2 linked regions of the Oryzias latipes genome follow. The main gene of each other region encodes a partner of the protein of the gene in region 2 in a complex. Links are inferred from orthologs where the notes say so. Each region holds a gene or a part of one and is shown on either strand. Other genes may lie near its edges.

Region 1 (4,269 bases), on a different chromosome or scaffold from region 2:
TCAGTGAGATTATCATCGGAGCTCTGACTAGAATTACTCTGGTGGTTAAATGGTCCATGATTTAATTAACCAATTATTCAAGTAATCTGGATTATTTGCAGAATCTGAAGCTAATCAAAAGGACGGCTTTTCTCCCAGCAGCATCACTCTCAGTTCTGCAGCAGAGCAGTTGTGGTTTAGAAGAGAAATGTCTTCATCCTGAAACAGAGGGTGATTGTGAGCTTTGTTTGATCTGAAGCTGGTGTCCGAGTGTGGCGGGTGGGTCTGGATGATGGTCAGCATAAACAAACACATGGCTTCTTTTAGCAAACGAGGCTGTCGCACGTCTTCTGCAACTTGCTTCAGTTTCATAATGAAAGTAAGTTCATCAGTAAGAAGCAGCTGTTCTTCTTCAATCATCAGCATCCAAACGCTGAAAGTCAGCCTCACAGGAGTGAGTTCAGTCAGAGCAGGGAGAGAAGCCATCACCGTTGCTTCCTCCCGACATTTTCCTGATTCTTTCCATTTGAGCTTGTTTTTCCTTTCAGCAGATTAGCTAAAGCCAAACCCCCCTGGAGCATTCACACTGACGGCTTTACTTCAACCAGAGCCAGTTTCCTCTGATGGTCCTCCTGGTTCATGAGGTGTGAAATTCACCTGCACTCTGGTCGTGACCCAAAAGAACTCCTGAAGGTCTCTGTAGGTGAAGGGGGGGGACATTTATTAGCATTCCCACCCAGTTCTATTGGGGGAAAGTCCCTCTTGAAGCCGTTGTAAAATCAACTCTCAGTGAAATCATCTTTATTTTTATCATTTTTCATTTTTATGCTATATTTAATTTCACTTTGTGTCAAACTACAAATGTATAGTATTTGAGTTGATTTAAGTTTTTGCGGCTTCTTTTTAACTCTTTGTGGTCTCACCCACCTTTACTTAGCTGCAGGTCTGATTGTCAGTGACAGACCTTCATGTGTTCACAGATGGACCTTATAAAGTAACATAACCATCAGGATGTGTAACTGGTGCTTTAAAACATCTTCAGAAAAGTTAGCTAGAAAAAAACCTTTAAATCATTTGGAAAATACATTTTAAATGGTAAATGGCGTATACTTATATGGCAGTCCCATTCACTCACTGATGGCAGCTCCGATGACTAACACTGGCGCCAGCCTTTAAAACCTTTAAAACATAGGTATATATTGAATGATGTATTTCATTGAGGCTAACTTAAATTGATGTAATTTAGTTCGGTATTCTAAAAAAAGGAATTGTTTTATGCATTTTTATGTGTTAACTTCATGATATAAAGATAAGAGGAGTAAAGGATCAACAGGTGTTTAAATAATTCCAAATACTTTTGTCAACCTGATTGTGGTGAAAAAATCAAAGTTCTTTTAATTACAACCAATGAGTATTAATGTGCAATAATGATTACTGAGATGTCTGAATTACAATCAATAACTATTGATTTTCTTTATTGATCTGCATGTGTAGCAATAATTACTGGTTTAATGTGTTCTAATGATAATCAATTATTATTACATAACGATTATCGTTACTGTTTTCTGAAATCATGAATGAACGTTTTCTGTAGATAATCAATCATTAATTAGAACTGGATTTAGTAACTTCAAAAGAATCTATCGGATCAGAACCAGATTACTAAAACTATAAAATGAATTAACTCAGTAGGGGTGGGATTACATAAGATCACTTCCTCCGCTCCTTTTCAAGCAGTAAATCAAGCTCTACTTATACTTTAGTTAATGATCACTGTATTTAATTAAGCAAATGTGACTTATGTGTCTTTTTTTCTGTTTTATTTTCTTTTTTTATCTATGCATTTCATCATTTCTGTAATGAGTTTCATAAATCTGTGTAAAATCTTTATTGCTTTGACTACAATGCTTGAAATCAATCAATCAATCTTGTAATGTTCATTGAAACCATTCAGTCATTGGACACAATCATCAAATAAAATAGGAAGTTATGGAAGAAATGTTCCAAACAAAAAAAGTACAGTAAATTCCATAAATCCATCTCTAGTTCTGAAGAAGGAAAACAAACTTTCTGTGTGTTTGGAGCAATGTTCTCCTTTGCTCTCTAGCTGTTCTTTCAGGGGATCTTTTTCACGTATTTAAGTGCGACCAAGCACAAAAAGTGAAGAAAATTCCTGTTGTGCGGCCAACATGCGCATGCGCTCGGATTTTCAGGTTAAGCGTTGTTGGATGCGCGTTTTGGAAGAGGTCATTAAAGCAGGAAAGGCCACCAGGTGGCACAGCCAACATTTACCCACAAAGTCACGTTCAGCATCAAAAGACTCCAGTTCTGCCCCGGCCTCACCTCACGTATCTTAGAAATGAGGTGAAGGAAGTCACTTCCTTTTCTTTAACGTTCCTTAGTTGTTGTTTTTTTTTTCACATATTTTTTGTATGAATTTTCTCCATTTTTTAACTGACCACATCTAAACTATTAAGAGGCTGGCATGTTCCCTGATCTTCTCTTGTTCTGCTCAGTCTTTGGCCCCTTTCTTTCATTTCCACACCCTGCCGGTTCCGTCCGGGACCCTGAGTGACGCGCGCGCGCTGCTTACCGCGATAACCAGCCCGATGCTCTCCGACAGCGCCGCGCAGAAGATGAGCGACGCGCAGAGGATCCCCAAGCACTTGTGCATCTGGGGAGCGCAAGAAGAAGCGGATGAGCTGGAGCCAGGCTGCGGGTGAGTGAGCGGAGCGGCCAGCCTGCAGCGCCTTACCTTTTCAGCGGGAGAGATGGCTGCAGCAGAATCTGTGCGCTCTGGTAACTGGTTTGGACGCTCCGCGCGCACCGGCCGGCTTTTATGGGCGACCCCGCCGCTACCTGCTGGCGTCAGCAGCCCCCAACCCCCTCCTGCGGACATGACGGGCAGGTCACGAACACGGGTGTCACCGCATCACCCCCACCACCTCCCGAATTCAATTTGACAAACGCTCCTCGTCCGCAGTTCCGCGCTCATTCATCAATGAAGGTCAGGAGAGGATCCGGACCATCACTCAGACTCACTGGTCTCTGTGGTCCGGTTGGCTGGAGCTTCTGTGGGTTCAGACAGGCTGATTCTGCATCTGTCATGACCCAGTTAAAGGTTCGCAGAGGTTTGGAGAGGGGTCTCCTTCACAAAACCCGCAGCTCCTCTCCAGCTGTTCGTTCGTTCAGGAAAGTTTAGGTTTTGGTTTTTTGTAGTTTGAATTCGGGGTTGGGCTCACCTACTCAGTCAGGTACTTCAGCAGTTCCCTGTGCTGCACGGTGATCAGGTGATCTCATTCTGGTCCCTGTAGCCTCGTCCTTCACAGTTGATGTTTTTCTGCAGAAATGCTGTTTCTTTTCCTGCTGGTATCATAGATTAGCATCTTTCACTTTGAATTTCATAAAGACTGTAACATATTTTAATAATTTAAGGCGCTACTTCTTTTTTTGTCTATGATCCTCGTCCCTGTCTGAATCTTATGTCCTGCATGAATTTAACCACCTTGCTTATTGTTTTGCCCCCCCCCCCCATCCCCCCATCTGTCTCAGTCTTTGTCCTGATGAGGTTTTGTTAACGGAGTCTCCATCACTGAGTAGCAGACATGAGTGAAGTTAGCAGAGACTCAGCTCACAACATTCAAATCATCACTAGAACAGGACAATGAGGACTTTACTTCCTGGTTTTGTCCTGTTTTCCTTTATGAAAGTTGTTATCGTTTTCTGTTAACCCGGTGAGGAGCTCCGTCCGTTTATGTGTAACCATCACGTCCTCTCCACTTCTCTGTTGGTGGATACTGTATACACTGAACAAAATATAAATGCAGAACTTTTGTTTTTTGCTCTGATTTGTCACGAAAAAAGGCCGGATTCTTCCCCAACCCCGCCGGCTCCTCCTTATTGCTCCCACTGTAGGGCCATTTAGAGCTTTAGTGGTGTGTAAGGTGTTTTTTTGGGGGGGAGCTGGAGCGACTTAGGGCTGGGTATCTGTTATGATTGGCTCTTTGGCTGCTCTTTGATCGGTCGATCTTCAAGGACATGAGGCTAGATTGCAGGCCAGCAAAGATAAATAACACAAAAAAATACGTAATTGAATCATATCCTCACCGAGAAGTACGGGACTTGATTGACATGCAGAACGGCCAATCGAGCATCCTCTGATCCGTACGCGTGTTTAAATTCATCATCATCATTCATTCGTCTTCTTCCGTTTCGTCCCTTTTGGGGTGACGGGGCTGCTGGAGCCTATCCCAGTGTTACGGTTTGGGTTTTTTTCTTTTGTTTTTGGTT
Region 2 (4,108 bases):
CACTGTCACATCTAGGGATGGATACCGAGCCCCGGAATTGAACGAGGCAACATTCTTCAAGACCGCAGTATCGTTAAGATCTGACCTCAGCGGTTCTGCTATCGGTACTGGAGAAGTCGCTTTTTTTGTGGCCCACAAGATACAAACTAGAGCTGTGACGGTGTGGGATTTTGATCACCGCACTGATGTCGCGGTGTCGCCGTCACCCGCACCCCGCAACCCTGTACCGTTAAAACCTTAACGATACCCATCCCAGTCACACCTGGTGAAGATTGTGACGCACAAAGGATTGAAAAACAGCTCTTAATCAAACCCTAAAAGCCAACATTCCAAAATATTACCATCTCTTCTGTCCAGGCTGAAAACAAATTTACATCTCTATGATTGGCATCTTGCTGAAAAAACAAAGACTACAGCAAACTAATGCAAGTCCCAAAACTGAGAGAAAAATCATCCTTCAGGAGGCACTGATTAATTTTAACCCAGTTTTCAACGGGATCAGTTTTTTTTGTCTGATTTCAGGTTCAATTTAATGATCATTTGCATAATTGGATCTCCCCAAGTAATCATTCAGAGCTGTTGCAGTCTACAGACACAACTTTCAACACAAAAAAACTGGAGCAGATGTCACTCTTTATGGAAATGATGCATTTTCCTAACAACAACCGTTTTCACAATCCCAAAGCATGCGCACACACACTGCCTGCATGCACTGACCACATACATGCAGCAGCTCGTTGTCACAGATTCATGCGGCATTCCCTCTTTCCTTTCCCTGTGCAGTGGGAGAGAGCGCCTGACCGTCCTGCTCTGCCTGCTGCCCTAACGTCAAGGTCCTCGCTGTGTGGCGCGAAGCAGCCAAGAACCTGACCAGCCATGAAGAGCAACGGCTGCAAAGAGGCACACAGGCAGGACAGCAATCAAGAGGACCACTGATTAGTGGAGTGAATGACCTCCGTCGAGACAAGTGACGGCTACAAATGCCAGTTTGAGGACAGGCTGCTCTAAAGGCAGCGAACAGAAACGACTGAAGCAGTAATATTGGAGCTCAGCCTGCAGAGGATGGAGTTATTTCTGGCTACTTAAGGACATCCATGCGACTGGATGGACATGCACCTCTTCTAAATCAAACTGTATGTCAGTAGAAAGGATGAGGCGGAAGCCATAAAAACGAATTAAAAATGACACTCATCACCTCATCACAATTACAAAAATATAAGATTGGATTCAGTGCAGGAGAGGCTAATTATCAAATAAAAATGTAGTCAGTTGGATCTCAGTGAGATTACTGAAATAAATCTTTTCCTTCCCTGAGATGAGACTCGGTTATTACACAGTCATAACTCATCAGTTCAACAGGTAACATCAATCCATCATGTTCTGTAGAATCTTTGTAAAAGAAAAATAGAAGTTGGAGCAAAATGACACCTAAAAAAATAAATGACACCTACCTTTTTCTTTGAGGCTTCTGACTTTTTGGACATATTTCTGAGTTTTTTATGTAAGTGATTTAACACCTGTAACCAAGAAAAGAGAGATGAGATGCACATCCGTTAGATCATCAGTGATGTCAACGTCGGTTTGGTGACCCATGGCCACTTTTTATTTTGGATTGTTCCTCTTACCTTTGCGTAACAGAAGGAAATCAGCAGCAGAGGCAAAACATAACCAAAAACAAAGGTGCACACCACGTAGATCTTTTTCTGGGTCTGATCTGGCCACACTTCCCAGCAGAAAGTGTAGTTGTCCGAGCTGTGAAAAATGTTCTGGTAGTGCATGATGGGCGCTGCCATGACCAGAGAGATGATCCAGATCACCACGACCCCGATCAGGGCGTACTTCGCCACCCGAATGGAGGACGACTTTCTGGAGTGCACGATGGCGATGTAGCGGTCCACGGACATGGCAGAGAGGGTGAAGATGCTCACCAGCATGGAGACGGTGAAAAAATAGTGGATGAACTTGCAAATGAATGCGCCCAGGACCCACGACGGCAGGATGTAGACGGTGGACTGGAAGGGGATGCAGAAGAGCAGGTAGGACAGGTCTGCGATGCTCAGGTTCAGGATGAAGATGTTGGTGGTGCCCCGCGGCTTGCCGGGTTTGCTCCGGGCCAGAACGGTGATGACCACGGAGTTGCCCAGGACGCCGAGCGTGAAGATGAGCCCGAACACCAGCAGCGAGATGAAATTATCCGTGCCGATGCCAAATAAGAGTTTCCGCTCCTCGTTTTCCATTGCGCTCAGGTTCAGCGGCTCCTCGAGGAGCCACAGAGACTCCGACAAGTTCATGATAGATTCAGTCCTCCTTGGACAAACTTTACACGATCACCAAATCGGCAGGGCAGAGATCCAGCGGCGCCTCAAGACGCAGAGATGTCACTCAAACGGTTTAATCTGCCTTCGTCAACGCGCGAGCGCTGTTTTGGATTGATTTGAGATTCTATGTCACATTCCCGCTTTATTTTTGTCAATAACATACAACTAGAATGTGAATGAACGAATTCCCCCAAATCTAACCTGTCTGCTGCTCAGCATAAATCGAGATTCGCGCTGTGGATGTTGGAGGATCTCCGGTGCGCAAAAGACGCGTCTGCGCTCCGTGCGCCCTCATCCAGACTGCTGCCCACTTCTCTGCGTCTGGACCTTCTCTCACATAAATTGCGGGCTGGGCTGGGCCATCAACGTCAGAGTTCGTACCACCTCCAAAGAAATAGAAAAAAGAGAGAAAGAGAAGGAAAAACACGAAAGCTTTGTACTCATTGCGGCTCTGAGTCTATCCTTGTATAGTTTAAAAGCCGGCAATATGTTTAAAGAGAGACGGGCTTTAGTGAGATAAAGATTTGATTTTATGCTTAGACTGTAAAGATTGCTACATCAAAACAAATTATCTGATTTGTCTCTCTTCCTATTAAAGTGTTTTCGCAAAGAAATGAGACTGCGAGAGAAAAAAATAGATCACTGAAGAATAAAAACGTCTTTTCAAACCTCTGGGCATGACGTGAAAACCCTTTGAAGACCAACTCCAATTAAAATTGTCTTTCTAAAATATTCTTATGGAATTTTTCTGATGATGGAGGACATGTAAAAAAATTCATATCAAAATTGTATTTTTGAGTATTTCTTTGTTAAAAACGCTGTGAATCAGGAGCGGACAAAAAGAATCAGTTTGGAAAAGCTTATGGTGTGACAGAATACATGGCAGGTCATAAGCTCCTCGCTTCACTTCATTCTGATGCCTCCACTGTCAGACAAATAGATCCACTTACGTCTTTGTTTTGCTCATCCAAGCTGGCATCTGGATCTAAACTGTACAGCTGAATAGCTCCTATATCGCGTCGTTTGCCATTTTTGTTACACCACTGGAGATTTGTGCAAGGCTGTAAGCTACTGGGAGAGAGTGTAAACAGATGGATGATGGGAAGTGGGGGTGGCCTAATCCTCACCAACAGTCCCACAATTTAGAGGTGTATTTCTACTGAATTATTGCTGCCTTGCAGAAACTATGTCCTAAAAACAACACAGGTTTTTGGATTTGGCTAATAATGGCTTAATCATATCTAAAAGACCCATGGGAACGCTTTGAAAATAGGTCAAAAGATGATCGGAGTGGGACTTTTAAAGAGTCTAAATTATTTTTACTGGTCAAAGCTATTTTAAAATGTACATCTTACCTATATTTCTTTACAGATTCATGCAGAAGACCACCTTTTGTCAACAAAATCAAATCAAACTGTTCATTAAATAGAAATTGTTTTCTGTTTGAATCCACAGAACAGCAGTCTTTGAGGAGCATACCATACACTGTAATAAAGAAGCAATAATATTTTGGAGACTTATTCAGGAAAACCTTTTACATCATCAGGGTAATTGAGGAACACCCTCTAGGTGGTAAATGTGTCAGAATCTAAGATGATTTCAGAAAAGCACAAGCCGCAGGCTCATCAGATCTGTATTTCAAACCCTTGACTGCTTACATTCTTGTTTGTGATACTATTTGTAAAATAGCTGGAGGCATTTTTATATGGAGTTTCTGTCTGCCACGCCGAGAAGCTTCAATGATCTTCCACTAAACAGTTTATTATGGCCCGCAGCAGCAGTCACTGACT

The links. Proteins that work in one complex are often made in the same cells at the same time.
Region 1: the proteins of galr1 (region 2) and gal are in contact, whole or in part, in a cryo-EM structure (PDB 7WQ3), measured with the Homo sapiens proteins. The link is inferred for Oryzias latipes from reciprocal best matches to the Homo sapiens genes GALR1 and GAL. Residues at the interface, in NP_001471.2 of Homo sapiens: Glu32, Gln92, Thr94, Val95, Tyr96, Leu98, Pro99, Thr100, His112, Gln174, Phe177, Arg180, Gln184, Phe186, Cys187, Trp188, Glu189, Gln190, Ile266, His267, Ala270, Phe275, Leu277, Ser281, Phe282, Arg285; in NP_057057.2 of Homo sapiens: Gly33, Trp34, Leu36, Asn37, Ser38, Gly40, Tyr41, Leu42, Leu43, Gly44, Pro45, Val48.

Annotation. Positions count from the first base shown.
Region 1 is NC_019864.2:4,848,295-4,852,563, forward strand, and holds the start of gal (galanin peptides), read right to left. Parts: upstream 2,837-4,269; 5' UTR 2,735-2,836; intron 2,654-2,734; coding exon 2,573-2,653; intron 1-2,572. UniProt on the Homo sapiens protein: Endocrine hormone of the central and peripheral nervous systems that binds and activates the G protein-coupled receptors GALR1, GALR2, and GALR3.
Region 2 is NC_019874.2:2,339,206-2,343,313, reverse strand, and holds the start of galr1 (galanin receptor type 1), read right to left. Parts: upstream 2,812-4,108; 5' UTR 2,292-2,811; coding exon 1,626-2,291; intron 1,518-1,625; coding exon 1,452-1,517; intron 891-1,451; coding exon of another isoform or gene 741-890; exon of another isoform or gene 725-740; intron 1-724. UniProt on the Homo sapiens protein: Receptor for the hormone galanin. The activity of this receptor is mediated by G proteins that inhibit adenylate cyclase activity.